Linked DNA regions of Schizosaccharomyces pombe. The protein of the gene in region 4 interacts with the protein of the main gene of each other region in a biochemical or structural test. Each region holds a gene or a part of one and is shown on either strand. Other genes may lie near its edges. The genes, in order: ccq1, mrc1, cds1 and rad3.

What was found.
Region 1: of the proteins of rad3 (region 4) and ccq1, one has a biochemical effect on the other in vitro, tested with the Schizosaccharomyces pombe proteins (one study listed by BioGRID).
Region 2: of the proteins of rad3 (region 4) and mrc1, one has a biochemical effect on the other in vitro, tested with the Schizosaccharomyces pombe proteins (2 studies listed by BioGRID).
Region 3: of the proteins of rad3 (region 4) and cds1, one has a biochemical effect on the other in vitro, tested with the Schizosaccharomyces pombe proteins (3 studies listed by BioGRID).

The regions. Positions count from the first base shown.
Region 1 is NC_003421.2:1,482,496-1,489,178, reverse strand, and holds ccq1 (shelterin complex HEAT repeat subunit Ccq1), read right to left. Parts: upstream 3,040-6,683; 5' UTR 2,877-3,039; coding exon 669-2,876; 3' UTR 501-668; downstream 1-500. Other genes in the region: ubiquitin hydrolase Ubp5, read left to right, coding at 1-245; signal recognition particle subunit Srp54, read left to right, coding at 4,043-4,120, 4,601-6,091. UniProt on the Schizosaccharomyces pombe protein: Component of the meiotic bouquet that facilitates meiotic nuclear reorganization of the telomeres to the centrosome. Links telomeres to the meiotic centrosome component pcp1. Essential for the formation of normal telomere clusters during meiotic prophase.
Region 2 is NC_003424.3:4,207,280-4,216,461, reverse strand, and holds mrc1 (claspin), read left to right. Parts: upstream 1-4,073; 5' UTR 4,074-4,118; coding exon 4,119-7,178; 3' UTR 7,179-7,259; downstream 7,260-9,182. Other genes in the region: transcription elongation factor Spt6, read left to right, coding at 1-3,756; rps2502 (40S ribosomal protein eS25), read left to right, coding at 7,615-7,617, 7,668-7,908, 7,962-7,987; SPOM_SPAC694.04C (uncharacterized protein), read left to right, coding at 8,350-8,404, 8,748-9,182. UniProt on the Schizosaccharomyces pombe protein: Component of the replisome and is required for rad3-dependent activation of the checkpoint kinase cds1 in response to replication fork arrest. Phosphorylation allows it to mediate the activation of cds1.
Region 3 is NC_003421.2:737,270-745,027, forward strand, and holds cds1 (replication checkpoint kinase cds1), read right to left. Parts: upstream 4,070-7,758; 5' UTR 3,962-4,069; coding exon 3,704-3,961; exon of another isoform or gene 3,613-3,703; coding exon 3,564-3,612; exon of another isoform or gene 3,497-3,563; coding exon 3,465-3,496; exon of another isoform or gene 3,420-3,464; coding exon 3,335-3,419; exon of another isoform or gene 3,267-3,334; coding exon 3,007-3,266; intron 2,942-3,006; coding exon 2,732-2,941; intron 2,694-2,731; coding exon 2,485-2,693; exon of another isoform or gene 2,413-2,484; coding exon 2,133-2,412; 3' UTR 2,092-2,132; downstream 1-2,091. Other genes in the region: protein Thc1, read right to left, coding at 251-601; THO complex subunit Tho3, read right to left, coding at 747-890, 957-1,035, 1,081-1,325, 1,368-1,436, 1,489-1,580, 1,624-1,897, 1,960-1,986; cab5 (dephospho-CoA kinase), read left to right, coding at 4,476-4,512, 4,561-5,234; ribosome biogenesis protein Urb1, read left to right, coding at 5,735-5,765, 5,808-7,758. UniProt on the Schizosaccharomyces pombe protein: Has a role in the DNA replication-monitoring S/G2 checkpoint system. It is responsible for blocking mitosis in the S phase.
Region 4 is NC_003423.3:899,902-908,492, forward strand, and holds the start of rad3 (ATR checkpoint kinase Rad3), read left to right. Parts: upstream 1-4,282; 5' UTR 4,283-4,463; coding exon 4,464-8,591. Other genes in the region: dynein-anchoring factor Num1, read left to right, coding at 1-1,080; SPOM_SPBC216.03 (uncharacterized protein), read left to right, coding at 2,041-2,784; peptide-methionine (R)-S-oxide reductase Mxr2, read right to left, coding at 3,255-3,671. UniProt on the Schizosaccharomyces pombe protein: Serine/threonine kinase which activates checkpoint signaling upon genotoxic stresses. Involved in G2 arrest following DNA damage where it phosphorylates chk1.

The DNA.
Region 1 (6,683 bases), on a different chromosome or scaffold from region 4:
CCCAGGAAAAATTCATCGATACAAAACTACGTCTTGCAGCTCGCACACAGTATCCAGAAAGCATTTTCAGCGTTATTAAATTCTGTGTGGTGGATTTTGATAACAATAGAGTTGTCTATTTGAATGATGAAGACATTACATATGATGTTGTTGAAAAACTAAACGGTACATTGGCTTTGGATCGTGCTAAGAAAGATAGTAAGAAGCCGAATATACTCGACCGTGCTATTCAGATGAAAAATTAGTATTTAAAGGCTTTACAATCCTTGCTGGTTGTTTGGTCCTTACCTGTTGAGCATAAGGTGCATGAAGTTTTATACAGGTTCGATATTGCGAGCATAACAAAATGATATGAAGCATAAAAAATTATTTCATCAATGTTGATATTGCATCTTTTGAGGATGCATATTCGAATTTGATACAATTAAAATCTTTCAAAAACAAATTCAAAATTAATGACATAGATCATTGAATCTAGTATGTAACGAAATGTCTAACTTCTTGATGAATATATGAAGAAAACCAATATATTTTTGCAACTGTTGAAAAATTAATACAATTAAAATTGTTTCATTAAAAGCTGATTACGACATAATTTAATCAAATAACCGTATGACTAAACGAACTTTTTATAGTTGATTCCACTGAAGTTCTTGATCGTTAATGATTTAGTTAGAATCAATAATCCTTGGTGATTGATTATGTGGAGTAAATTTGGGAAGAGACTTCTGCTCTAAAATTTTTAAGGTCTCCTCCAGAGAAGAGACCTTAGCGAGTAATGCTTCTACCCTTGAATCATTATAAACTTTTACCTCTTCCATAACTTTAGAATTTATAGCTTGTAAGCGCTTACATTCAGCTTGAAGTTTCGCAACCTCTTTGCTTTGCTCAGCAGCAAAAGTAGATGCATTTTGATATTGATTAGTAATGAAATCAGCGTCTTCTTTCTGTGTTTTTAACAGTTGAGTAAGTTTGTAATTTTTTTCGTTGGCTTCAATTAATTTGCCTTGTAGATCTTCATTCGAAAATTCTTGTACATATTTAAAGCCAAATTCTTGTTGCTTAGCTAAGTGGGTAAGCTCTTTTTTAAGGTTTGCGATTTCTTCAACCTTCTCAACTTCTAGCTTTGAAAGGTCTTCATTCTTTTTCTTCGATTTCTCCAAATCCAGCTTGAGCTCTCGAACAGTGTTTCTGTATTCTTGTAAATTATCCGTCAGCTTAGAAATTTGCTGCTCCAACTCCTCTGAGCGACTTTGTTGTACGTTTTTGGAATTAATGGCTTCGTGTAATTCATCTTCTACCATTCTTAAACGACGCTGCAGGTATTGGACAGCTGCACCTTGGAGATCATAATTATTGGAAAGTTCTACCTCATCAGCTTCCTGTTGAGAAAAAAAGTTTTTCTTTAGTGAGCTTGATGACAGTAAATCGGTGGCATTACTTGTTAAAGAGTGGAGTTTGGAAGGTGATTGCATGCTTTGCGACGAAGGAAATGTACTATCAGATGATTTGACAAAAGTATCGTTCACCTGAGAAACAGAAGGCTGAGAATCCCTTGGTTCTGCAACCGATAAGCTTGCTAAATCCATTAGAGGAGGTAGTGGCCAAGAAGAGAAGTTTTCTCCATTTTTTAACCAGGTCGCAACATTTTTAGCAATATCTCGAGTTTTTTCTGTAATAGAAGAGTGAGATTCTGAGCCTAGGATTTCCTCAAAGTTCCCAGATTTCTCAAACAAAGTGCTCAAATTTGAAGCTTCTGAATTTTCCTCGGAAGAAGAACTAAGAGTGGCAACCACACCCACAATGTTCACTAAAAATGAGGCATTGTAAGATGATTGAAAACATTTTATGGCATGTTCTATAGATCCCAAGTGAATGAGCCTAAGGACAAGGCTTTGAATAGAGGGCAAGGAACTAGTGACACTCATGTATGCTTCGATATCATAAAAAATGGTTGCACTCAAATCTGGGCAAGATTGAAGAAAATGAGAAGCGGAGGGAGCCTTTTTGGACACACAAATCCAAATTGCTGGATGTTGGCTAGTCTTTGCATCCTCTTCAGCCCATAACTCAGCATCAATGTTTTGAGATTTTAGCCATTGAGTAAGTGTGTTTGCAAGAAATTGGTTGGAGATAAATAAAAAAAATGTCTTAGAATAAGAGGGGGAAAGATTTTTGAATAATTCTTGCAAAAAAAGAAATTTTGAAGAATTTTCGGCATATGAAGAGAAATTAGAAGCATCTAAAGAAACGTGGGAATTAGTGGATTCAGCAGCGGAGGGATTTCGAACTTCAGTATCATACAGACTAGGATGCTTTGCAATGTTATGAGCAGATTGAATAAAAAGACGTATTTTTTCTTGGATTCTTGAATCGCTAGGACCAGTACAAAAATGGTCAATACAAAAGGCAAAGTATTGAACCAACCGATGCATCATTTTCCTTTGAAGCGCAGACATTGGAAGGCCAATATCTAGCACGCTGAACGAGGATTTAGAAGATTTAGTAATAGATTCTTCCGAAGAATCAAAGGCAGTGTCATTTTGCAAAGGAATAGGAAATAACTGCTGGGTAGAAGGGAATTCATCGACCTCTTGAGTTAAAAAGTCATTTTCAGAGTGATCCAAATCAGTCCGTAAAAATTTTTCTATCTCTCTTTGTTTGGATGCAGGTTCTTCATTACGCATGCAACTTAGAGGCTCTTCCAATTTTCTCTTATGGCCTGCTAATTTTAGAAGCCATACATCTTCCAACGGGCTAGGGCAATCCTCTTTGGCAATCCATCTATTACTGGAATTCACCTCAGAGTAAACCTCGTATTTCGTATCACTTTCATTGATAATAATTGAATTCGTAAAGTCGTTAATTTCGCTCATACTGCCATCCACGTTAAAATTCAACAAGAAATTGAATGTTTAAATATTGCAACACGAGACCAATTTAGCGTCCGAAAAGAAATAATTTTCGCACGTTTAGAGGAATTAGATGGTCTAAAAAGAGTCTTTTATTATCGTTTTTACAAATAACCACCCAAATGTTGTTCCCAGAATTCCGTGTTCGCCTTTAAATTTGTACATATTTTTACGAAATACACTGTGTAGCGGAAAATGTTTACAGCATTTAAAAGAGCTCTAATTACTTTTTTTCATATAACAAATCTTTATTTTAATAAAGTAACGCGTCACCTCTCTATTTAAGTCTATTATGTAAACAAATATAACTATTCACCCATAACGCGTAGTAAATGTTATTTCTTTTTCAAATTTTGTGTTAAGGGGTTAACGATTCTTTATCTTTAGTCTTATATTGAAAAAACAGCTAATTGCAATTCATTCTGGCTCTTATAAGGACTTGGAAGTGCTTTCCTTCGTGAAGTTTGGAAAAACTGGATCTTAAGACTAATTGCTGGATTAACGCACGAAAAATTCCAAAAAAGTTTAAGGTGAATAAGAACATACGCCTGAAAAATATATAAAAAGTTTCAAATATCAATCTTTTAGATCTTTTTCTATTAGCGTCTTAAAACACAAACTACAGCAAGTATGAATCAAAAGATTGTGGGACAAAGTTAGCCACCACGGAATTTACGATTCGTGTTTCTATTACAAATGTGAGAAAGAGAAGCATCAATAATTGTCAGGACCTAGTCAAACACTTTTACACATGAGTATAATCTTAATAAGTATTTTATTTTTTAAGATTATACCTACTGAACTTTTGCTATAGATTAATTCTAAAATATTATACAAACAAGGTATTATATAGGAATGCTGTGCTGCGCTATCCTGTCGATATATCACCTATACTGAAAACAATAAAAAGCTTGCAGGCGAAATAACTCGGTATTAAACTCAGTGAAAATATTTTTTAAAAAGATAATATCAAACTCTTCTTTACTTCATCTTTAGGCATTTATCATATTGCCTCAATTGTCTATTGACTTTTCGCTTGAAGACACTGCATGTCCTTAACGACTTCATCCTCTACCAACCACATTTGACGAACTTCAAATTGCCTGGTTGGAAGTTTTTAATCTGACAAAATGGTTTTTGCAGATTTAGGGCGTCGTTTGAACTCTGCGTTAGGGGACTTTTCTAAGGCCACTTCAGTGAATGAAGAGGTATGTTTTATTCTATCGAAAATTTGTTCTCATACGGAGAGTGAGCCATGTCATTTATAAAAATATTTAATACATCTTTGCTTGATTTCTTCAAAAATTTTGCATTTGCCATGTTTTACACGCTGTATATGAACATCGTTTCATGCTTTACGAAATTTGTCGATAAGAAAAATCATCTACCACAGATATGCTTTTCTAGTTGCGTAGCTGGTTTATCCAATCTCTTATATATATATATCTTGATTGCATATTGGGATTATCTTCGTTTACATCGACGTTACCTTGACATGAAAATTTAAAACCCTTTTTAATAATGCAATGTTAGATTTTGGTTTCAAGTTACTAAAAGGGTTTACTTACCAAGCAACTTTTAGGCAGCTGAAGATTTTTTTAATGACCTCTAGTTTGTTTTCCCAATGTTCTGTTTTGATTAGGATATCTATCGTTTTAATACGAACCTTTACTAATAATTTTATTTAGCTTGTCGATACTCTGCTGAAAAATATATGTACGGCACTTTTGGAAACAGATGTTAATGTGCGATTGGTTCAAGAATTACGTTCAAATATTAAGAAAAAAATCAATGTATCAACTTTGCCTCAGGGTATAAATGGGAAGCGAATCGTCCAGAAGGCTGTCTTTGATGAACTTTGCAGTTTGGTTGACCCTAAAGTTGATGCTTTTACTCCTAAAAAAGGGAGACCTTCAGTGATCATGATGGTAGGTTTACAAGGCAGTGGTAAAACGACAACATGCTCAAAGCTTGCTCTGCACTACCAAAGGAGAGGTTTGAAATCGTGTTTGGTTGCTGCCGATACTTTCCGTGCTGGTGCTTTTGATCAATTAAAGCAGAATGCTATCAAAGCACGTGTTCCTTACTTTGGTAGTTACACCGAGACTGACCCAGTCGTTATTGCCAAGGAAGGTGTTGATAAGTTCAAAAACGATAGATTTGACGTTATCATCGTTGATACATCTGGTAGGCATCAGCAGGAGCAGGAGTTGTTTGCTGAGATGGTGGAAATTTCAGACGCTATTCGCCCAGATCAAACAATTATGATTTTAGATGCTAGCATTGGTCAAGCTGCCGAATCTCAAAGCAAAGCGTTTAAAGAGACTGCTGACTTTGGCGCTGTAATAATCACAAAATTGGACGGACATGCCAAAGGTGGTGGTGCTTTATCCGCCGTGGCTGCGACTAAGACACCCATCGTGTTCATTGGTACCGGTGAACATATTAATGATTTGGAGCGCTTTTCTCCACGTTCTTTTATCTCAAAGCTACTCGGACTCGGTGATCTTGAAGGTCTGATGGAACACGTTCAGTCTTTAGATTTTGATAAAAAGAATATGGTTAAAAATCTTGAGCAAGGAAAGTTTACGGTCCGAGACTTTCGAGATCAACTCGGAAATATTATGAAATTGGGACCACTTAGTAAAATGGCTAGTATGATTCCAGGCATGAGTAATATGATGAACGGTATGAATGATGAGGAGGGATCTTTGCGTATGAAGCGTATGCTCTACATCGTTGATTCAATGACCGAACAAGAGTTAGATTCGGATGGTCTTCTATTTGTTGAACAACCCTCTCGTGTTTTACGTGTTGCAAGGGGTAGTGGTACAAGCGTTTTAGAGGTAGAAGAAACCATTTCTCAGGTCCGAGTATTTGCGCAAATGGCGAAAAAGATAGGAGGAAAAGATGGAATTTTGGGTAAACTTGGTGGAAATCCAGCCGCAGCTCTCAAAAAAGACCCTCGTCAACTTGCAGCTATGCAGAAAAGAATGCAAGCCATGGGTATGGGGGGAGGAATGCCTGGCCTCAATCCAGGTTCTATGAACTTTGGTGATATTTCAAAAATGGCTAACATGTTGATGGGAGGCGGAGGTCCCGGAGGGGCAGGTGGTATGGATTTCAGCGGTATGCTCAATCAATTTCAAAATATGCAAAAGCCTCCTCGAAGACGTTAGTTTACTTCCCTCGTTATTATAATGTACTCACATATGGCATATTTTACTCTAATACCTTATTTACTGTTTTATAAAAATATATGCATTAAAAATTCATCGTCCTTCTCGTTTTCCTTTTTCTTTCCCTAATTACTTAACGTTTGCTTTTATAATTGTGTAAAATTTGTTTCTATTTCTACTGAAGAGCTAGCAAAGTTTGCTAAACCGTAAACGTGAAGCATCCTTGTATGATTGCTCTCGACAATTATTTGCAGATTTCTTAAGAGCTCGGTTAGCTTATGTTAATTGCTCTTGCTTCGTAAAATGAGAATTGGATTTATTGTATATTAATAATGGTAGTGTATTGAGAACATAGTTTTTTAGCCGATTAGGATTAAGTTTTGGGTTTTCTCATTCTATGCAATCACATGAAAAAGCTTCTTGAAAGTTTCAAATTTGTGCTTTATTAATCTAATTACTAGTTTGAACAATGAAGGATACCTAAAAATAGGCCAAAAGGCTTGTACGTAGAAAGCATAAATTAGAACTAACGGCAACTGGAAGCTATATTTGAACAGAATGCAGAGATGAACTTAAGTGGAAGATTCTATAG
Region 2 (9,182 bases), on a different chromosome or scaffold from region 4:
AATACAGGCCAAGGCTCTCGTTTTTCTAAGTTGAGACGTTTAAAACGTGGAAGAGATCAAGAAGAGACTCTTGAAAACATATTTTCTGAGGAAGAAGAAGAAGAAGAAAACGAAGTCGATGATGAAGCTCCTAATCGCACGCAAGGCCACCGCGCTGGCGTTATCGACGAATTTGCAGATTTCATTGAACAAGACGAATTTGAAGACGAAGAGCGTCAAGAAGAAAAATATGAGACTGGTCCGCCCATAGAATCAGTACGACCTGAGGCTTTAGGAATATCGGATGATGATTATATACAAATATACGAAGTCTTTGGCGATGGAACAGATTACGCATTTGCCCTTGAAGATGAAGATGCTGAAGACGAGTTAGAAGAGTCTGTCAGTTTGAAGACCATTTTTGAGCCCAGTGAACTAAAAGATAAAATGCTTACCGAGGAGGATGAGATCATAAGAATCACGGATGAACCTGAACGTATGCAACTTTATATGAAGAGGAACATTGATTGCTCTGAAGATGAATTTAGGGAACAAGTTGCTTGGATTATCGATTATCTCTTAAAAAATAGGCGTGATATTGATGCTGAACTATATGAGCCGTTTCAAACTGCTGTTCGCTATGTAGTTCACTTCTTTATTCGTGATAGTCTTGAAGTACCCTTCATATGGCAGCACCGTCGTGATTATATAGTGCATAACAATCGTGAGAGGAACACAATTACTCCTTTATTAAGTCAAAATGATTTGTGGAATATTTTTTTCCTTTGCACCAAGTTTTGGTCACTTCATTCTAAGAAGCAAGATATCCTAAAATTGTACTCTGATTTGGGAATTAATGATGATTTAGTAGTTCCCTTCTGTGAAGCTGCTTCCTCTCTTGATGCAATTGATGACCTTAATGATTACATACATTTCACTTATTCTGAACAAATCCGTGATCGTGCCTTACTGATGGGTACTGGTCTTCGTCGTCCACAAGGTTCGAAGTATTCTTTTTTTGAAAAATTTAGAAAATCATCACTTTACAATCTCGTCAAAGAATTTGGTATGAGTGCTAAAGACTTTTCGTTCAACGTAGCACAGGGTGCTCGTCTCCGTTTTGTGGAAGACAACACCCTTTCGCCTGAAGAACTAAGTCGTACTTATGTGACAAATGAGCTGTCATCACCTGAGCAGGTACTTCAAAAGGCACGTAGAGTTTTAGCAGAGGAAATTATTCATGATCCTCAATTTCGAAAGTCTTTCCGTGACAAATTGTACAATGCTGGAGTCGTTACTGTTTTGGCCACTCAAAAAGGTGTCCGTAAAATAGGTAGTGAGCATCCTTATTATGAATTTAAGTATTTAAAACGGAAACCCTTGGGCTCGTTTGAGTTAGAGCCAATCCTATTTTTAAAAATGTTAAAGGCCGAAGAAGAGGGCTTAATTCAACTATCGATTGAATTTGAAGATCCTGATGATGTTTTTAAAGGTTTACTCGAGCTTTTTGTTTCAGATAATTTTTCTGAGAACGCAATGCAATGGAATGCTCAGAGAGAATTGGTATTAAAAGAAGTATTTAAAAGGTTTTCTGCATTAGCACCCGATGCCATACGTGAAACTTTACGTTCTCGATACCTGGACGAACTTGGAATGCGCTGCCGAAATCAATTGTTTTCAAGACTTGATCAAGCTCCCTATGAGCCCTCAACTAAAAATTTCGATCGTGGCACTATTCCATCAGTCCTTGCCGTCTCCAATGGAAAAGGTGAATCGTCTGATGCCATTATCTGCGTATTTGTTGATGATGTGGGTGAGCCTACTGATTCATTAAAACTTGCCGATCTACGAGATCTTGCTAATCAAGCAATGTTTGCTGAATTTGTCGAAAAAGTTAAGCCAGATGTTATAGGTGTTTCGGGAATGAGCGTTTCTGCTCATAAAATTCGTCAACACGTTCAAGATTCGTTAACGTCTCACGAACCAGTAGATCTAATCATGGTGAATGATGAGGTCGCTCGTCTATATCAGAATTCTACTCGTGCTGTTGATGAATTTCCTACTCTACCAACTATTTCTTGCTACTGTGTTGCATTGGCTCGGTATGTACAAAACCCTCTGTTTGAGTACGCTGCTATGGGTCGTGATTTGATGTCTTTATCATTTGATCCTTGGCAACATTTGCTTCCCCCTGATGTTCTCTGGAAATACTTGGAAACTGCGTTAGTCGATATATCTTCTTTGGTGGGTATTGACATTAACGAAGCAGTGACTAACAAATATGAAGCTAATATACTTCCCTACATAGCGGGATTAGGTCCTCGCAAAGCAGATTATGTTTTAAAGAAAATCGCTGCTACCGGTGGACGTATTGATAATCGTAGTGATTTAATTTCAAAACAAATAATGTCGAGAAAAGTTTTCATTAATTGCTCTTCTTTCTTCATTATTCCTAATGATGAGTATCCCAATATGGATATTTTAGATTCTACAAGGATACATAATGAAGACTACGAGTTAGCTAGAAAAATGGCAAGTGATGCACTAGAACTTGACGAGGAAGATATTGAAGAGCTTGAAACCAATCGAGGGGTGGTTTACCACCTTTTAGAGGAAAACGAAACAGGAAAACTTGATGAGCTTGTTCTTGAAGAGTATGCTGATCAACTGGAACGTGAATTTCACCAGAAGAAGCGAAACACTCTTGAAAAGATCCGTCTGGAGTTGAAGGATCCTTATGGAGAGCAAAGGAATGTATTCCATAAGCTGACACCTTCGGAAATTTTCCTAATGTTAACCGGAGAAAATCCAGAAGAGTTGCAAGCAGATGCAATTGTACCCGTGAATGTTAGGCGAGTTACTAATAGGTTCGTTGCCGTCAAACTCGATTGTGGAATTGATGGAAATATTAAAGCCGATGAAGTGAGTGACGATTTTATACCCCCTCCCCAATTGCTTCAGGTTGGTCAAACAGTCGAAGGTGTAATTATTTCTTTGGACGAGGCTAATTTTATGGTTGATCTTTCACTTAGAAATAGTGTTTTACAATCGGCAAATTCTAAAAGACAAACTAGCTCTCATCGTACATCTTATTGGGATACTGAGGCTGAAAAGCGGGATACTGAGAGGATGCAGGCCGAAACACAGGCTGAACAACGAGTTGCTCGCGTAATTAAGCACCCGTTATTTAAGGATTTAAATGCCTCTCAAGCCGAAGCATATCTGTCGAAAATGCAAGTTGGCGATCTAGTTATACGTCCATCTTCTAAGGGCTCTGACCATATTGTCGTTACATGGAAAGTCGCTGAAGGCTCCTACCAACATATCGATGTGTTAGAATTGGAAAAAGAAAATGAGTTTACAATTGGTCAGAAATTACTAGTAAAGGGAAGATTTGAAAAAATGACTTATCAATACAGTGATCTCGATGAGCTGATTGTTTTACATATTAAAGCCATTGCTAAAAAAATAGATGAAATGTGTATACATGATAAATTTCGAAAGGGTACACAAGCGGAAACCGAAAAATGGCTTGAGAGTTATTCTGAGGCAAATCCTAAACGATCCTGTTATGCATTTTGCTTTGATCATCAACATCCTGGATACTTTATCTTATGTTTCAAAGCTAGTGTTAATAGTCCTGTAACGGCATGGCCGGTGAAGGTTATTCCAAATGCGTTTTTTTTACAGGGCAACGTTTATGGTGATATGACTGCACTTTGCAATGGTTTCAAATTGCTGTATGCTGCTCGAACTAAAAATTTTAGACGGATGTGAGCATTGATGGTTTAAACGCTTTACTCTTATCTGCAACTACGTGACATTTGTTTTACATAATTAAAGAAAACCACCCTTGGTTTATTTCATTTTCACCGAATTTTTGGCACATTAATATTGAAATATCCCTTTTTATACAGTTGATATCTATATGTTTTTTTTTTTACAATAAATTCTCTTAATACCCTGTATTTTTATGTATATATGTTGTAGTTTTCTTGTTAATAGAGCGCAGCTTGGAAAGTCGCGACGCGTCAAGACGCGTCGCGTTTGTTGATGAATTCTAAGGAGGACTAAGAGATGTATCGCGGCAAAGCAACTACCATTACTCGTTCAATAAGAGCTTTGTGGTGCTTAAATCTATGGCATCTTTAGACGAGAACGCTGATGAGTTGCACAGAATGGATTCTTCTGATGAGGCTTCCATCAATGATGATCAAGAGGATATTTTAGATACGCCTCGCACTAGGGTGAGGAAAATGTTGGCGAGTGTTGATATGCAATTGTCTAGCAATGCTGTATCTGAAGCATCTTTGGATAAAGAGAGTACCGTTGGCAATTTAGAGAATCAGAAAAATCGCTCGTATAGCAGCGAAATCTATCTTCATTCTGATACGAATTTTTTATCTAATTTTGACTCTGCTTATGAACGTGTTAGGCGATTATTAAATCAACAAGGTGGTAAGTCTTCTCTCCAAAAAAAGGAGGTTGAACAAATTGAAACTCAAGAGGGAGGTGATAATGCGAAGGGAAGTCCATCCTCTGAAAATAAGGATTCTGATAGAAATTCACGTTTACAACAATTAATTGAAAAGAAACGAAATGCCTTGAAGAAGGAACAGGAAGATCTGATCCAAAACTCTGCTACAAGCCATAGCAAATCAGATAATTTAGATTCTGAAAGTGCAGATGATAGCGATTTGGCAGACGAATCAGAACTTTCAAAGAAGTATACTTCCGACAGAAAAATTCGAAATGCATCTAAAAAGGCTTTACTGGAACTACATCGTAATACTGCCCGCTTAACTAGAGAAACAGCTTTAAAACCAGAAGTGGTTGTTAAAAAGAAAGTGACTCTTCGTGAATTTTTTCAAAAAATAGGATTCAAAAACGATAACCAGCTTGAAAATAAAGCAATTTCGGAAGAGGAAGCTAACTCAACTGAGCCTCCAAATGTTGAGAAGGAAGAGCCAAAACCTAGCGTTGACCGGTCCACGGGAATAGTGAACAGTGAAGACATAAAAGAACTTTCGGTTGAGGATGACTCTTTAGAGTTGAAGGAAATCACTCCTGAAGCATTGGATATTGGTCAAACAAGCTTGTTTACGACTTTAAATCAAACTCAAGTTAAGAAAGAGGATAATAAAAAATTTTTATTAAAGGAAATTAATGCAAAATTGAATGAGGATGACATTGATTCTGAGCTGGAAATTGAAGTTAAGCCCAAGACTACAGCTCTTGATAATATTGAGAAATCAAAGTTATCTGAAGAGAATGAGCATGGAATTAAGGGTAAATTAAAGCAACTTGCTGAAATCAAGCTCAGCAAAGATGGAAAGCCGTTCGAAAATGAATTTAACATTAAGTCTTTTAATCGAAACCTTGTGAAACGTGCAGCTGTTATGGCAAAATTGCAACGCAACCAACTTGAGGAGGAATTGAAAGCAAAGGGAATTTATAAACCGACAATTCAAGGTGAGAAAGAAGAGGAAGAAGATCCGCTTGAACGCGCTAGAAATGATGCTGAGAAAATACGACAACTGGAGAAAGCATCTGGAAATGCAAGTGATGAAGGTGAACTCAACGACGAGGAGGAGGTTATATCATCTTCTAATACTCCATCTACTAAAGCCAAAACCACCAACAAGGTCATAATATCCGACGTGATTATTGAGGCAACACAGGCAGAACCCAAAAGGCGACAAAAAAACAGCCGTGTTGTTTTTGATGAAGAGGATCTAACTGGAGATTCGCATGGTTCTTCGAATATGAAAATTTCTGAATCTGATGATGAAAGTAATGGAGATATGATTCGAGATTCCTTCGATAGGTTAAGTAGTGAGAGCATCAAAGATTCTCAGAAAACAGAAGAATTACACGATTCTTTTGGCATTAATGACGAAGTTGATCAATCTACATCTCTTTATGTTCAAAACAGTCAACCAAGCGCTTCTCAACTCACAATCGTCGACGCTACATACAGTCAACCTCCTCCTCGTTGGGAGTCTTCTAGCAGAGACGACAAAACCAACACCTCATCTACACAGCCGAGTCAAGTAGATAGTCTAGTTCCTACTCAATTAGATTCCACTATTCCTACTCAAATTGATTCTGTTCAACGTAACAAGGATCAAGATGATGAAGAAATATTGGAAGAAAGACGAGAGTCAAGAAGGGACTCCAAAACATTTTTGAGTCGAACTATGCTTTACAATAAGGATACTGGTAAGGCTGATTCTGCATGGGCTTCAGACCTTATTGAGGAGCAAGCTATTGAATCTGATGATGAGTATGCTGGAATTGGTGGCCTTTCCGATGATGGGTTGTCTGACAGCGATGCTGAATTAGAAGTTCAAAATATGATTGATGACGAGACTACTATACAAAAAGGCGAGGTAGCTTCAATGGCACAATTCGCTAAAGATCAAGAAATGGATCGTGATGAAAAGTTAGTAAAACAGCTAATGAAAGACGTTACTACTGGTGCTCTACGAAAGAGGAATAGGAATGGATTTGCAGCTTTGGACGATAGTGACGATGAAGATTACAGTAATTTGCGGCGCGAAAAACTCAAGGAGTTGCGGCGTCAAAAATTATTGGAAGATGGAAACCTTAATGTCTTAGAAGGTGATAAAAGGAAAGCATTTTTAGCTACTGTTGAAGACAGCCTTGTCAGCAGCAAAGACAACCTTACTTGGCTTGATGCTACAGTGGAAGACTCTGGTGTAGGTTCTTCAGATTTAGGTGACGAATACCTTTATTCTGAACAATCATTAAATCATGAAGAAGAAGAGCAAATGGAAGAGGAATTAAGCGAAATATTCTCTAGCGGTGGTCCCAATGTCGTTGATAGAGTATATCTCAAAAAATCTTCAACAAGACATACCTCTGATAACAACAGCTTAGAGGAAGTTTTACCAATCTTTCCTGGAGTAAGGAAACTAGTGAGTAATTCACAGTCCGAAAAAATTGGTGACCTATCAAACGATAACTCGATGGGAGCAAAGTCTTATAAAACACCTATAATTTCTTCTACCCAACGTCCACAAGGACGGAAATTTAGAGGTTTAATGAACCAGTCTTCTAAAGCAGATATTTCCAGAACTGTAGATGCAGGTAGCATCAAAGTTGTCCCCAATTCACAATCCGCCAATCCACCTCGGCTGTTAGCTTCTTTGAATAATTACTCGGACTTTGACTAAGTGGCTAAGAAAGGGGATTTGACGAGCTGGACTTGTCAAACTTGTTTTTTTTGAATGAGGTATTGATAATTTACATAACTAAATTACATAATATAATTTAATGATTCATTAGAAACTTTTGAGATTTTTTAAACTACTTTTTGGTGTATCGTATGTTAACTTTTAAATCTAAAGCAGCTCTTTATTGACGGTTTGAAAAGAAAACTAACTTTCTACAGTAAACCAAAGAAAGGTTACTCAAAAAGGCTAAAGTTGAATGAATTCATCTTTCTTCACCAGCAAACCCGTTGTTTACAATATTTACGTATTAAAATTCGCTATCATCAATATCGCTCTGTAAAGTTACGCGGAAGAAAAATGTAGGGTAGGGTATTAAGAACAGTCACGGCACAATACTCTTTGACAATGAATGTCTATGAAACAAACCATCCACAAAATGGTAAGAATTTTAAAATGATTAAAGAGATAAGTTGATTAACAAAGAAATAGGCTCCCAAGAAGAAATGGTCTAAAGGAAAAGTGAAGGACAAGGCTCAACACGCCACTGTCTTTGACAAGAGCATCATCGACCGTATCAACAAGGAGGTTCCTGCCTTCAAGTTCATCTCGGTTTCAGTCCTTGTTGACCGCATGAAGATCAACGGATCTCTTGCTCGTATTGCCATTCGCGACTTGGCTGAACGCGGTGTCATCCAAAAAGTGGACCAACACTCTAAGCAAGCTATCTACAGTAAGTTTAATATTTAAGTTGTATTATTGCATATACACTAACACAATTTTTAGCACGTGTACCTGCTGCTACTGCTTAAGTTATGGTGTTGCCATTAATCAATAAATCCATTTTTTCATTTTGAAACTTTATCAATGTAGCCAATTTGCTTAGTGTTAACATTTGGTAGAGGTAATTTATTAGCAGTTGTAGATGTAGTATTCTCTGAAAAAGTAGTGCAGTAGTTTTGCTTCAGGAATTGCTAAATTAGTCTCAGTTAGAAATATCTGATGCGTCGGGTACTTTGATAGATGGCTAGTTGAAGATTTCTTCGACTAGCTTAGTGAAGTAGCGTAGCCTTCGTTATGCTTTGGCCTATTGAATTTCATGGATTTGAACTACAAACAGAACACGCTTCCTGAACAATAGACTTTGCTTGCTGTTTAAAAAGGTTTTAAAGAAATGAATAATTTAGTTAAAATTGCTACTCATAGTGGTACTTTTCATGCAGATGAGGGTGAGTACTTATTTCTAAATTAGCTGTTGCAAGATGCTTGGATTTAGTTGCTGGGGGGAAAAAAAATACAGAATCAAAAGAGGTTGGATAAGTCTGATTAATTGGGACCTTAAGCGGATTAAAAGTTAGGGGCTTGTGCGGTTTTATATTGATAGCTCTTGTTTATTATTCAGGAGATTAATCATTCAATTACTCATTTTACTATGCAATTTTTTTGATTTTTGTTTGCATAATGCACAATCAATCTGTCCTGGATTTTGTACCTATGACTTTGTCCTTGTTGCTCCCTACAATAGCTTTCTTTCAAATCTTGCTCTATTATACTAATTATTAAAATATTTAGCCTTGGCTGTTTACATGCTTCGCCGTTTAGATAGATTCTCCGGTGCCCAAATTGTGCGCAGCCGTGATCCTCAAGTTTTAGACTCATGCGACATTATTGTAGATGTTGGAGGAAAGTACGATGGTATTAAATATTTTGACCATCATCAACGTGAATTCAATGATACTTTTTCACCCAAATACAGCACTCGTCTTTCTAGTGCCGGTTTGATCTACAAACATTTTGGTCGTGAAGTTATTCACGCTGTCCTTCCACAGTTGAAAATAAACGAGCAGGATCTTGAAACACTTTATGAAAAAGTTTATCAATCATTCGTTGAAGGTCTTGATGCTAATGACAATGGAATTTCTGCTTATCCGGCTGGCCTAAAGCCTAGCTTCAAAGCCGCTATGAGTCTACCTGAGATGGTTTCAAGTTTCCTTCCTGCATGGAATT
Region 3 (7,758 bases), on a different chromosome or scaffold from region 4:
TTTTCCATTTGTATAAAAATAGTAAAGTGATATTTATACAAAGGCAATAGAAGAAATAGCCCGTGCCATTCAAATCAATCGAGATTGTTAAGCCAACTAACAGTTGCAATTTTAAACCAGTTGGGTTAATAAAAGATTAAAATTAGGTTTTTAGCCAAACGAAATTTTATAAAACACTCGGCTGTCCGAAAAGTTGTTGGATTGCGATTAATTTTTCCGGTAAGTTTAAGCTGTGTTCTAATTTATCTGTTTAACCTGAAGTCAAGAAATTTTGTAGTGGAATAATTCTTTTCCTTTTACATAAACGAAGTACCTCATCGTGCGAACCGTAGAATGGTTTAATGATAGCATTCAGTTGACTGCCCCAACGAAGTGAATCTAAGTAAGCCTTTTGAGCTTCCTGCGGCGAAGAAAATGTCAGGTAAGCTCTCATACTATCCTTCCAAGTAATAATTAGATCAGGTTGTTTAAAATAACTTCTTAAAACGCGTTCTGTAAGATAAAGTCCTTGTGCACTTAAAATGTACGTAGAATGACTTTCAACAACTTCTACTGGACGTTCAATATGCTTAGATAAAGAAACAGTATTTTTCTCTTCCATTCTTCAAAACTTTTGGTACCAAATAAGCTAAAACTACAACTTCAATGAATATTGAAGGTATCCATGCTAAGAGTATAGGGTAAATACTAAGTAGCCGTTTTTTTATTGTTGATCAGCGTGAACAAGATTGCCAATTTTCAATCATTTATAGCCCAAATATCTTAAGACCACTAGAATTAGGCTCCGATACAGCATATGCTAAAATATGTTTTGTTGGATGCCAAGCTACCTTGTTCAGAGGTCCATTAGTTGGAATTTTCCAAATTTGATCACCAGTTTTCGTATCAGCCTTCCAAGTTAGTTTATTAAAAAGAATAAAAATAAGAAACGGTTTCAAACATCCTGAAATACTTACGATATCCACATAGCGGTCCTCTGATCCACTAGCTAAATAGCGACTGTCATAACTAAAGCTTAATGTACGGATGGGATAACTTTTTAGAAGTTAGCGACCAAAAAATTTAAAAGAAACTACATACTCCATTCTAGTAATCGACCGTTCACAAATCAGTTCTTGTGGATCCCATAAACTAGTAATTGCATCTGCACCACCAATGGCAAGGTGCCTGTTATCCGGACTGAATTCAATACAGAAACAATTTGAGTTATGCGCCTTTATATCGTAAACTCTTTTTAGAGAAGGCCATTCCATAATTTGCACCGTGCCAAGTCCTGTAGTCATGAAAAACAAATCTTCACTGAATGACCAACAGCATTCATTTGTCTATTAATCGTAAGCAAAGTTATTATTGGTTTAAAAACAAACCTCACAAGGTTGTTGGAATGTCTCCATTATTCTTCTTTCCCGAGCATCAATAAAAGACAACATATCATCCTAGCATTCAATTAGCAATCGTGCGTTATAAAAACTTAAAATATTCTCGTACCCGACTACTAGCACAGCAGTAATTTCCACTTGGACTCCAGGTTGCATAAATATTCTCATAGTTGCTTTCTATTTCAGCGATAGGTTTGGCGCCTGAATAAATAGTTAACAAACAGTCAAAGACTTCATTGCATACTTCTAAAGTCCCAGAAACGGATCATTTTCCCAGCATACACAGCCATTAACCGATCAGAATGCGTAGGATCCCATACTAGTTGTTCGACAAGACCATATCCTCTGTTCCCTAATTCAGTAGTAAATTTAAAATCCAAACGATCTGAATTCCAAACAAGTACTGATCCTGAAGATGAAGAACTCGCAAGTCTCGAGCCGGAAAGATTCCAGCCTAGGGAACGTATAGGTCCCTGTTGCCCTTGTAAATCTCGAGTTTTCAATTCGGGAAACTTTGGCTAAAAAGAAAAAAGAAAGTTTTAGTATTTTATGCTCTAGTTTTTATAAATCATTAACATACAAGCGATTCTGTAACTGAAGCACACATGGCAAAGATCGCGTCGAGACGTCCAAAGGGATAGTAGTACGTGGACAGAGTGGTTAGTGTAAACTTACTGTCTATTTACAATATTATAAATTTGACGGTCTAAGTATAAAAATTAATTATCATTTAGAATACTAAATATTAATAATCTAACTCGAAGAATTGAGCTGTTCGGTGGCCTCATGTTCAGACGATGATGGTGGAGTACGATGTTCGTGTGTGCTCACAGTGTAAAACCAAGGATGCTGGAGAGCTTCACTTTCAGATATTCTTTTCTCTGGATTAATTTCAAGCATCCTGTTGATTAAATCGATTCCCTCTTCTGAAATTTCGTTTTCTAATAAAGGCTCTATCGGATATGCACCTTTTGATATCAACTCAATACATTTTGCTTGTGACGAAGATGCAAAAGGAATAGACGCAGTAAGCCTGTGAATTAGTAATTGGAAAAAATTAAGGCATGAAGGTTCATTGCTAATTGATTAAAGCCGACAAACTTACATCACATATAAAACACATCCCAAACTCCATATATCAACTTTATCATCATAACCTCCGTCCAAGTTGACGTTTTTTGACTTCAAAACTTCCGGTGCTAGATAACCCATTGTCCCGCAAAATGTTTCTAAAAAGGTTCCCGTCCCATGAATAACTTTAGCCAAGCCAAAATCAGATATTTTAAGATGGAAATCATTTGTTATAAGAATGTTCTACAAGTTAGACTTTCTTATCAATAAACAAGATATACCTCGGGTTTTATGTCTCTATGTGTCACACCCTGCTTGTGCAAATGTAAAAGCGTTTCTAAAAGTTGTTTGAGAAGAGGTTTACAGTCTTGTTCGTCGATGGAGCCATTAGCAATTAAAAAATCCATAAGATCCCCACCCTCAACATATTCCATAACAATAAATAACTCGTCATCATTTTCAAAAATTTCATGGCATTGTACAACTCCTGGCTAAAAGATAAGTGTTAGCTAGGAGTTTTTCGTATAAAAAAAGGTGAACATAAAATGATACTCACATGGTGCAAAGATTTTAATATATCAATTTCTCGTTGAAACATTTCAGTAGCTCGCTTTTCCGAACTTGTCAAAAGGATTTTTCGTTTGTTGATAATTTTAATAGCATACCACTTGCCACTATTCACTTCTACCGCTAGCTTGACAACTGCAAATGTACCACTTCCAAGTGTACGAATAATTTCGTAATGACTGTTCTCGGATTTAATCATGTTTTTCTGGGAATCTCGTGAATGTTTAACTGGTACCTGGCACAAAAAAGCTATAAGACTGTAAGCAAACTTGAAGTGAATTCTACGTCAACAATCTCCTTCAGTGTAAAGGACGTACAAATTTCATCTTTCGGCACACCTAGGCCAATTCGAATTTCATCTCCGTTTGACAAGATAGTTCTACTATTCTTGGCAAGCCGTTCCTAAATGACGTCAGTAAATTGTAAACGAATTAAGCTCTCGCTTACAAAATTCAGAAATGTTCCATTAGAAGAGTGGTCTGAAATTGTTAGAAAAGGTGGAAGAGGCAGAAGACTTTAAAAGATTTTTTAATCCTTTAGACTTACCGTGTAAAAAAACGACATTCTCAGATTCATCGGAATCATTTCTATGCCCCTGGGTCATTTCGTTAGATAATTATGTCTTAAAGAGATTGAAGTTCAATTAAAACTAAACGAGTTCAGCTGGCCACTATTATTTTATATACCTGATAGATTTCAAAATGAAAGTTGCTAACTCTAGGTCCGTTTAAAACCACTTCACAAGATTTATGACGTCCAAATCTCCAAAACCCATTGTGCACATCTGTAGTAAGAGGAATCACTTCTGTCTTACCATCAAGCATGCGAGTCATAACCAATTTCATAAATACATTTTCGTTGTTAACCACCTGTTTGGCTATGTTCTGACTAACATGTAGTGGTGCCTCTTGAGTAGCCTGCGTAGCTTCTTCTGGTTCTTCCATAGTATCTTAAAAACAGAAAAACTGGATGAATTCTTTAACCATGTATATCAGTAAACACAAATAAACGTGCAAATGAGTGATCAAGCTTTTAACAGAAGTAAAAAGACCAAAGAAGCAGTTATCATGTCAGACGAGGGCTTATGATTTACTGACTTCGCTTTAAACATCGTTATAAATTTTACGATATAAAATGTATCATAAGACAATAATAACGAACTGTTGCAATACCAGATTTTTCGCGAAGCACGAGTAATATAAACAATGTTTCATCCACCTACTTTACTGTACGTTATACGTAGTGAGGATTAAATGTTAATTGTTAAGTAGTAGTAATCCCTATTTATATTTTTTTGGTATACGTGAAGGTTGCCATCTGTCAACATTCCTTTGTATTTCAAACTTCGACTTCCGCGATTGAAGACTTTGTTCTACGGCATTAAATAGTTTTCTGATCTCCTTAATTGTTACCATTATTCAAAAATCTTCTATACCAAAGCAAGGAATAAGAAATATAATGCTGATTCTTGGTTTAACCGGCTCAATTGCCACGGGTAAGTTATCAAATAACAATTGGTTTAATAGTGGTTAACCTAGTTAAGGGAAATCTACAGTTTCTCGCGAGTTTCAAGAGAAATATCATATAAAAATTATCGATGCTGATGTGTTAGCTAGAAAGGTGGTAGAACCGAATACACCTTGCTTAATAAAAATTCAGAAAGAGTTCGGTAATGAAGTATTACATGAAGATGGCACTTTGAATCGAGCAAAGCTTGGCCAGGCAGTATTTCAAGACGCAGGAAAGAGGTCACTTTTGAATTCAATAATACATCCAGCAGTACGTTTGGAAATGCTCAAAGAACTGCTTCGATGTTACGTACGGGGTTACAGCATAGTTATTTTGGACGTTCCTTTGCTTTTTGAAGCTAAAATGCAATTTATTTGCTGGAAAACGATCTGCGTGTCTTGCGATAAAAGCATTCAAAAGCAACGTTTGCTGGCACGTAATCCTGAGCTTACTGCAGAGGATGCTGAAAACCGAGTACAAGCGCAGATGCCTCTTGAACTTAAGTGTCAGCTTGCGGACATTGTAATAGAAAATAATTCGGATCTTGAGACCTTATATGAAAACATACATAATGTCCTACCTTTAATCACACCTTCCTATTTTTTTACCTTACTATGTTTAATTCTACCGCCATTGCAAATAACTTTACAAGTTATTGCCTTTGTCTCGCAGAAGAAAAAGGTATCTGAATTCAGAAAACATATATAATCCTTTTTTCCATATTCTTTAATTTCCTCGTTTGTTATTTAAGCCAATAGTCTTAATGTTTTTGCTTATAATTAGATCATTTTCATAACTTATCTCAATATCTTGCCTCGAGCTTTCTATATAAATTCACGAGTATATGTTTTATCATGATTTGAAATGAGAAATTAAATCTTTTCATGCGCATACAAATAGCTGAACACTACAATAATGATTAATGTAGAGGTTCTCGCTTAGATTTCTGGGTTTTAAATAAGAAATCGATTGCGTTCCTTCTTTCATTGTCTGTATACTTGGGTATTGAACTTGTATTAATCAATCTTTGCTACAATGCGTGACTTATATTTATGTCAAAGAATAATTAAATTTTTTTTGTTAGTTTCGTTGGGTTAGCTAATTTTTTGATTGATATATTTGTTCACGTATTTACAATTTACATGTTCGCATCCACCATCACTTGAACACCTTGTCAGTAAGTGTTCAGTAGCCAATTTTCTGGCAAAATGGAATCTGGATCTATTGATTTGGATAAGGGTGAGTCAATTTAGTCATTACAATTATGCTAACTCCATGTAGAGATAGATGAATTGAGCAGGGTTTTATTAGAGCATCCTGCTCATGTGGAAAAAGTTTTAAAGACCGTTGAGTTCGATAAATCTGCCCTTCGTTATATTGATGCAATTTTAGATCATCATTTGAAGCAGATATATCGGAATTTGACATCCAATTCTCCTTTGCATACGCTTTCTCTACTTCAAAAAATGGCATCTTGGAATAATGGATTGGCATGTGTTCGTGTATTCCAAGCTATTGACTGGAACAGTAAAATTTTTATAAAGATGCTCCAGCTACCTAATCAAATTCAAAATTCTAGGAAAGGAAATAAGCGTCTCAAAATCACTATATCAAAAAAGCGGTCCTCTTTACTACTTCTTTTCATTACATTCCTTAGGCTTGGTACACCAGAAATTCGACTGGAAATATTAAATTCAAGGAAACTAACTACTCCTTTGTTTAAAGGTATATACAATGATGAGCCTTCGGTTCTTAAGGAGCTACTTCAATGTTGGCTCACTTATGTGTTACTAGATCATGATGTTTCTAGGGCAACAAAATTATCTTATTTTAATGAATGGTCATTGTCATGCTTAGCTTCTCTTTATTCAAGAGATGATGAAATTGATGGCATTTCCTTATGCAATCTTGTTCATAAATTTTTTGTCGATGCTTGTACAGTACCTGGTGAAGGGCTTTGCTTCGTATCAAATGGATGGCATTTACAGAAGAAGGTGGATGGACAATCCAAAACTATTTTTAATCGTGTCTTACAGTCATTTGTTTTTTCATTGCATGTTCATACAAGTACTTTACAGCGGGAATTAGTCCTTAAAATATTAAAGGCTTGTCCAGATATTACGGCATCATTTATAGAAAGAAATAGTTTGACCTCTGAACCGGTATTATCTTATCAATGGATTTCTTTCGTTTCATTACTCCAAGCAATACTTGGTATGGGCATTCCTTTTCCTTTTTACGATGCAGAAACAAGAACAGTTCCTCCTACTAATATTATAATTGAGAACATATTGCCTTCTTCCTTTTCAAAGCCTGTAGTCCTTAAAGCATTGAACGGTAATGACAAATTTGTCTGTTTTTTAACGGTGAACACTCTCTTAGCGTCGTTTAAACGTTTAGAGTCTGTATTGGATGAAATCAAACGCTCTGAATTGTCTGAAGATAATAAAGTTGAACTTGTGTCAAAGATATCTGATGCAATTTTACTACGTTTACCCGATTCTCAAACTTTTGTACAGCTTTATTCTTCTACAGAATCAGATTTGCTGAAAGAAGGACTTTCAAGGATTTTACTTTATTTTTTCACTTATTTCCCGGAAAACATTTTGAAGTTAAAAATTGACACCTCTATATTTCTACGGTTAGATCTTTCGCCGGGAATGTTAGACCGTCCATTTTCACGTTTACATGTTGAAAATATTATCCAAATTCTTCGATATCTTCCAGAAGTTAAATGGTTTGACGTAGTTAGGTCACCTTTTGTCTTCCTATGCTTGATGTATTTACAAACAAGTCACTCAAAGCTTCGAGATGCAATCATTAGCACGTTAAACGATGTCTTTAGCCAAACTATCATTTTCTGTCCATCGCTCGCTGTCCCTCCTATTTTGACGATTTTAGCTTCTCTTCAACACACATCTCCTACGCAACATAAAGCAGTTTTAGAATTTTTAAATTCGTGTATCAACCGTTGTATATCTCGAGTTTTTGCTTATTTAGATGTTTGTGTCGACTGTTTTAAAAAGCACTCTGTGAATTCTCAAAAAAAGACGGCGCCCGAGGTTTCACCAATTTCGGTAACATTAATTGAGCAAATACCGTTTTTTCTTCAAAAGCGTGATATTTCTGATGACTCAAAGGATGCTGTGCTCTCTTGGTTAAGTGATTTGTTCTCTAACCTTGTCTGTACAGGCGAAGATGCAAATTGTCTTTTCCATCTATTGGAAAACGT
Region 4 (8,591 bases):
GATGCGCTTTCAAATGTTGCTACCACGAGGTTGAAAAGAAAATTAACTAGCGCTATTATTGACTGCTCGATTCCTCGTCGGAGGTTGCGCCACTATAGTAATCCAGAAATAGCTGAATTTAAGAATTTTAGATTATCTACGGATATTTCCCACAGTAATGTTAGGAATTCGAAAAAGCTATGTTCCAATGGATCTATGAATTGTATGAGGCAAGGCAAGGCAGTTTTTCCTCGAAAGATCCCATATCAAGAGCATGACTGGGAACAATGGGAAAAAATTGCTCAATCCTCGATGTTTAAGAATCGTTCAATTGCTTCACGTCAATCATTGGAAACTTCTGATGTTACTTTGGACATTAATATGTCTTCAAGACATTCAAACGGAACTTCCTCAATGCTTTTCAAAGACTTTACAAAACATAATAATTGGGAGGCGTCAACTTATCCGTCTGCACCTAAGAATACTCGTACTTATCCAACAGCTGAAGTTGAAAAAACTCGGCATGATTCCTCGCAATCAGCACGTCAATTGAAAGCAAGAAGTACGGCTACGACGATTTCTATTTCCTTGTCGACGGTGTCAGACGTATTCACCTTACCTCGCAATAATCTCAAAAGCAAAACAAATACGAAAAAATGCAGAGATAATTTGAATCTATCAGGTTTATCTTCTTCAACTTGTAATGCAAATTCTGTGAACAAATTGATGAAACATGTCATGATGGGAAACGAAATGATGAAGTACCCGAGAAGTGAGAGTTTCAAAATGTTTAAAAAGAGTCATTGGCGCTATTTTTGGATTAACCCGCATTGTGAAATGCTGTGCTGGTCTAAAACAAATCCATTTATTGAAAAAGGAAGGAAAAATCAAGTCAAGTCTGTGAAAATTAAGGGAATGACTATTATAAAAGCCCCAGATGCCTTAAAGAACGCCAATTTACATAATGAAGTTATTGTGATGCAGACAACTGATAAGCCCATCGTCTTAAAAGCGAAAAGCAAGAAAATTCACAATATCTGGGTTCAAGCTATCAAACAAATAAATCATAAGGCTATCTTTGATACTAAGCCCGGCATTTAAGCATGTTTCAGTCATTGCTTATAAGTTTTAAAGTAAACTGTTTCAATATTCCCTAACAACTTTTAAAGTTATACCAATTGTTTTTATTAAGCGGCATCAAATAGAAAGATATTAAACCACTGTAAACAACTAAGAATCAAATGTCTTAATCAGTTTTGTAAATGAGGTTTATACGATCAAGCTTTATTGCAATTCGACATGCACTAATGAGGATGATATACTTTCCTATTTTGTCGAAAAAATTGCTCTTTCTATACAATTCATTTTTAATCAATCAATTTATCATACGAGACATTTAAATAGCAAACAAAAGACGACTAACGTTTAAAGGTAACATCGATAATGTTAGTTTTATCAAAACAAATTATCCCGTATAAGCAAAAGAAGATTCAGACTTAACCTTGACGGAGTTTTATGTGCAAAGAATTAAACATTGCTATTACTGGTAAACATAACAAATCTGGGCGACTTTCAATTACTGAATGAATAATAAGCAACCTGTTAAATGATTTTAGTGCCCAGATGCACTTTCCGTGTATTACCCCAAGAACTTTTAGCGAAAGTTAAAAAGAGCACAATATATCTGGCTAGTTATTTTACTGCATCGTTACATCATGTTAAAACTATTAGAGCTTACCATACAAAAACTGAAAACGTCACATAATTAACTCGGTACTACTAATTAGGTAAACCGTGCTTTTGCTCATTCCCTGTGGTGTGTCTCTTCGATTCAATTTTGTAGATTGTTTTCATTTTCCTTATTCCTTTCTTTTTTTAAGAGGGGTTTGACAGATACACAGCATTTCCAATTCTAAAAATTACTCATTTTAACAATTGCCATTGCTTTTATTCAAAGGATCAGCTAATTAAGTTCCTTTTTCAATAAGGGAGAAGGATATATTGGATTCTTGATTCCCAACGGTTAAAGAAATCATCGTCAGCATTTTTATTTTGTAAGAAATGACTGTTTTTGTTGTTTTTGGAGGGCATGGAAAGGTGGCCTTGCTTTTTACTAAAATTGCTACAGAAGCTGGCCATATAGTTTACAATGTTGTACGTGATTATGTTCAGAATGAAGACATTGAAAAAGTGCATGGCAGAACTTCTGTCTGTTCACTTGAGAAGGCGACGCCTAATGATATTGCTCAGTTTTTAGCTGAAATACACCCTGATGTTGTTATATTTGCAGCCGGTGCAGGAGGTAAAGGCGGCCCTGAACGAACAAGAGCCGTCGATTATGAAGGTGCTATAAAAGTTTATGATGCTATGAGGATAGCTGGTATTCGACGCTTAATTATGATATCTGCGATAGATAATCGTGATATGAGCCAACCTCCTCCTCCTTACTATACGGCTGCTGATATAGAGCTAAGTGAGAAAATACATCAGTCAATTGGAACTTATTACCATTACAAGTACCTAGCGGATCAGGAATTAGTGCGACGCTCTAGTGATATTGATTGGACGATTTTACGTCCTTCTGGTATGACAGACGAGAAGGGTTCTGGAAAAGTTGCATTGGGTAAGATATCCATAAATTGTATGATGTCTCGTGAAAACGTCGCGCGTACTGTACTACTGTTCGCTCTTGATAATCAGTCCATCCATTTGGTGGTTGACATGACGGATGGAAATGTGCCAATATATAAAGCCATTGCTGGATTCGTCGTAAAAGGAGAATCATCCTATACTTATTCAGTATAATGTAATGACATTTTCGGATCCTTCGCGTATTATTGTAGTCCACGCATCTTTTACTCCTTTCTTAAAATCTTCTGAAAAAAGAACGAAAATTTTTCAATGACCTATGAAGCGTACGCAAATTAATAAATATTTAAGTGAGGGATACTTTAGTTATACCCTTTATAGTTGAAATAAATGGAAGATCATATCAGGTAGTGTAAACATTGTGTTATCGTTTATTAACTTTGGCATAAGCAGCTTAGTTATAACATACGGCTAGTAAATCTAATTTCTGACCTAGAGATTACTACACTCTTTGAAAACAAAATATATTAGTTTAAAATGTTAAAAGTAAATGCATTTTATTGAAGTTAACCAAAACGTGAACAAGCAACTTTAAATAAAATAATAGCCGTACATCAAGCACAAACAATTCGAACTGGTGCTAACATCTAATAAAGAAAATACAGAAATATTAAGCATAATCTAGTTCAATTGTCATTTGTTGCCTCATTATGGAATTCCAAACTCGCCGAATTTATACAATGGCGTTCGTCAGTAGGATTAGAATAACCTTCTCCTTTAAAAATATGGCCTAAATGACCACCACAGTTGGCACAAACTGCTTCTACACGATGCATTCCATAAGAGTTGTCTTCAATGCGTTTCACCTTTCCAGGTAAATTATCGAAAAACGCAGGCCATCCACAATGGCTTTCAAACTTTGTGCTAGCTTTATAAAGAAGCTCTTTACATGCAGCGCAAACAAAAACGCCCTGTTTAGGGAACTGATGAGTGAATCGTCCTGCACCTGGGTGCTCAGTACCCTTTTGTCTCATAATTCGATACTTCTCAGGACCTAGCTCCTTTTTCCATTCATCTTCGCTTTTTTCCAATGGAAATCCCATCTTTGTATTATTTTTGACGTTTTGGACAGGGTAGGAGACGTTATATGCACGTTTCAAAAGATTCGTAAACTTCGTATTTCCACAGATTGAAAAGTGTGTAGTAATCACTTTTTTCATGAAAACACAAGACGATATGTACCACAACTGGCACTACAAAAATTTTCAAGTAAGTAAACGACTTTTTGACCACTATTTATGTGAATAGGTAGGTACCAAGTAAAAACTGCTTAGTAAGTATAAAACACAGAAGAATCCGCGATCTAGTGAACCAATGCCCTGCGTATGACGCTCCACTGACGCTATAGTCAATGAGAACTAGGATGTGCGATTATAACTTATCTTTTCAATATTTTCTTATTATTTATTTAAGAAATAATTGAATTAAAACTCATTTCTTCTTTTATTAGCCGTAAAATAGCTTATTTTCTCTCCTACTACCTTTCAACAATAACTTTTTTTTTTGTTTATTGACCATTATAATCACATCAAAAGTCAAAAAATTCAATCATTATCAGAAACATCCAGCCTAATATTACTTAAAAGTTAGTTTCCTCTGAAAATTCAGTATCACAAAAGCTCGTTAATTAGCATCGCTCGATACTTAGTGCACCATGCATCTTCCTTTACCTCGTGAGTGGAAATCGATTTGATAATCGATTGCCACTTTTCGCATAATTCTATTGAGATATTTTATTACTTACAATCGTCTTTTATAAATGCTCAAGACTTTGAACGCGCGTGTTGCGTTTTAAAAAGGCCTTTTTTTGAATTGAATCAATGGTTTGATATAGTATGAGCCAACACGCAAAAAGGAAAGCTGGGTCACTCGATCTTTCACCCAGAGGCTTAGATGACAGACAGGCTTTCGGACAGCTTTTGAAAGAAGTATTAGCATTAGACAAAGAACATGAGTTAGGTAGAAGTAATTCTTTACCATCTATGACCTCCGAGCTTGTTGAAGTTTTAATTGAAGTTGGTCTTCTAGCTTTTAAACATGATGATTCAAAATCTGAATTTATCTCTCCTAAGATGCTAAAAGAAGCCCATCTCTCTCTACAAGCGTTAATGCTAATCTTAAAAAGGTCTCCGACAGTTTTGCGGGAGATTAAATCATCTGTTACTCTTTTGGATTGGATTTTACCCAGGACTATATCATTGTTTGCTGATATTCGTTTTATTAAGTTATTTGACTCATTAAAAGAGTTTCATAAGCTAATTTATCAGCTAATCAGTGAAAAGTCATTCCTATGGGACTTATATGCTTCGTTTATGCGTTATTGGAAATATTATATTACAAACGTTTCTTCTATAGTTCTCCAAATCACTAATGCTACATTCCCTTACAAGATGCCCTCACCCAATTCTCAACCATTGCAGAGTATCACCCCAAATTATCCAACCCATCGAGAGGACAAATTTGATTTACTTATCATTAATATAGAGGAGGCTTGTACATTTTTCTTTGAAAGTGCCCATTTTTTTGCACAATGCTCATATTTAAAGAAATCCAATTTTCCTAGTCCACCTCTCTTTACAGCGTGGACTTGGATCAAGCCATGTTTTTTTAATTTTGTTATTTTATTAAAACGAATCAGCATCGGAGACTCACAGCTCTTTCTACATTTGCATTCACGTATAGTCCAAACTTTATGCTGTTTTTCCTTGAATTTTATATATCATGGCCTTCCCATTTGTGAAAAATCTAAACATATTTTAATGTCCTCCATCAACTTAACATTGGGATCATTGAAGAAAACTTATACAGTTGCTAATACTGCTATATCTCTTTTTTTTCTCTCTTTATTTGTTTTACCCAAAACTGTAGCTGGTCTATTCTATCCTTTTGGGGTTTCCTTACTTTCTGACTTCAAGGTATTAGAGCAACTTGAACCAGATTCTGATCTCAAAAAGGCAATAATATTATTTAAGTGCAGATACCAAAGTTCAGAAATAGATCAAACAACTCTCCGTGCTTTTGGCGAAATTTGTACTGGTAAACTTGAAAACACGTTGTTTTCTAACTCTGAATTAAACCTTTTTCTTTTACATTATCTTTCCTTGGACAATGACTTGTCAAATATTCTTAAAGTGGATTTCCAGAATGGTCATAACATATGTACATTTGCAAAATGGTGTATAAACAACAACTTAGATGAACCGTCTAATTTAAAGCACTTTCGTGAAATGTTAGATTATTATAGCTCTCATAATGTTACAATAAGTGAGGACGACCTGAAGAACTTCTCTTTAGTTTTGTGTACTCATGTTGCAAAGGTGAATGAGAAAACAAATAGTATTTTCCGCACATATGAAGTACATGGTTGTGAAGTTTGTAACTCATTTTGTTTACTATTTGATGAGCGGTCGCTCTTTAAAATTCCTTATCACGAATTGTTTTGTGCATTGCTAAAAAATCCCGACATAATTTCCTCTTCTGTTAAACAATCATTGTTGCTTGATGGCTTTTTTCGGTGGAGCCAGCATTGCTCAAACTTTAATAAAGAATCAATGTTAAGTTTAAGAGAATTTATTATGAAAGCATTAGCCAGTACTTCAAGATGTTTACGTGTTGTTGCTGCAAAAGTTTTGCCCATTTTCATTAAGGGACCTAATAATCTTGATATAGTTGAATTTCACAAGGAAAGTAAAGCCTTGATTTTTAATACGTTGAAAATATTGGCGGTGGAAAATACAGCTATTTTAGAAACGGTCATTCTTTCCTGGATCTCCTTATCTAGAGTGGTAGAAGAAGAAGAATTACATTTTGTACTATTGGAAGTTATATCTTCTGTGATAAACAGCGGAATATTTTATCAAGGCATTGGTCTCAGCGCTCTGCAACAAATTGCCTCGACGCGTCATATATCCGTTTGGCAATTACTTTCTCCATATTGGCCAACAGTGTCCGTTGCGATTGTCCAAGGTATGGGTAAAAAACCGAACATAGCCAGTTTATTTGCTCAGCTTATGAATATTTCCGAGGGCGATTTTCTTATTCGAACACAGGCGTACACTTTACCATTCCTTGTACTTACTAAAAACAAAGCGTTAATAGTACGTATAGCTGAACTTTCACAAAGTGATGTTGCTACTTTGTGCCTTACCAATATGCATAAAATCCTTGCTTCGCTACTTACTACGGATCATCCTAATTTGGAAGAGAGTGTGATGCTTCTTCTTTCACTGGCCACTTCTGATTTTGAAAAAGTTGATTTAACGTCTTTGTTACGCTCTGATCCTATTTCTATTACTGTGGAGTTGTTACAGCTTTATCAGAATGATGTTCCTCATGAAAAAATTGAAAATGCTTTAAGAAAGGTAGCAATGATTGTCTCTCAAGTGGTTAATGACGAAGACTTGAGCAATAAGGAATTACTTTATGATTTTTTTAATAATCACATTTTGGGTATCTTAGCAGAATTTTCTAATATCCTTAACGACCTGAAAGGAAAGACTTCAATTAATGAAAAGATTAAGACAATTGTCGGCATTGAAAAAATGTTATCTTTATGTGGAGGTGCAGTCAAACTTGGATTACCACAGATACTTTCTAATTTACAAAGTGCTTTTCAAAATGAGCACTTAAGGTTTTATGCAATCAAAGCTTGGTTCAGTTTGATATTAGCAACCAAGGAGCCCGAGTATAGTTCAATTGCTGGTTTAAGTCTTGTAATTTTACCTCCTTTATTCCCTTATTTAGAACCACAAGAAGCAGAGCTAGTAATTCAAATATTTGATTTTATTTCTTCTGACACACACAAGTGCCTACAAGGATTAAAGTGGGCTATCCCCACCAGTCTGGATTCAGCGTGCTTTAGCCTTAAGGCTAAAGAAATATTCTGTTCGCTTCAAAATGAAGATTTTTACTCTGAGCTTCAAAGTATAATTAAGTGTTTAACTAACGAAAATGAGCCAGTTTGTTATTTAGGTTTACAAAAATTAGAACTTTTTTTTCAAGCCAAGGTGGACGAGTTACATGACACACTAAATTTGGACATATCCAACGAAGTTCTGGACCAATTACTAAGATGCCTTTTAGATTGTTGTGTAAAATATGCTTCAACAAATATGCAAATATCATATCTTGCTGCAAAAAATCTTGGTGAATTGGGTGCGATAGATCCCAGCCGCGCCAAGGCTCAACATATTATTAAAGAAACAGTTGTTCTTGATAACTTTGAAAACGGAGAAGAAAGTTTGAAGTTTATTCTAGATTTTATGCAATCGCAGTTAATTCCAGCTTTCCTTGTTACTACTGATACTAAAGCACAAGGTTTTCTTGCCTATGCTCTGCAAGAGTTTCTAAAGCTTGGTGGATTCAAGTCCGCAGTGATTAATAAAAAAAAGGGACTAACTGTGGTAACAGAACATTGGATGTCTTTGCCTGATTTATCCAAACGTGTGCTTATACCATTTTTAACTTCCAAGTATCATTTAACACCAATCCCCAAAATTGACATTCGGTACCCTATTTATAAAGAAAATGTTACTATTCATACTTGGATGCAGTTGTTTTCTCTTAAATTGATGGAGTACGCCCATTCGCAAAACGCTGAAAAAATATTTGGTATTTGTTCGAAAGTAGTGAAAGACCAAGAGGTTAACATTCCCTGTTTTCTTCTTCCCTTTCTTGTTTTAAATGTTATTTTAACCGAGTCAGAACTGGAAGTTAATAAAGTCATTGAAGAATTCCAGCTTGTTATTAATCAACCGGGACCTGATGGATTAAATTCCGTGGGGCAACAAAGATACACCTCATTTGTAGATGTATTTTTTAAGATTGTGGATTACCTTAACAAATGGCTTCGCATGCGAAAGAAGAGGAATTGGGATAGACGTTCTGCCATTGCAAGGAAAGAGAACCGTTATATGTCGGTGGAAGATGCTACCTCTCGAGAATCATCGATCTCAAAAGTTGAG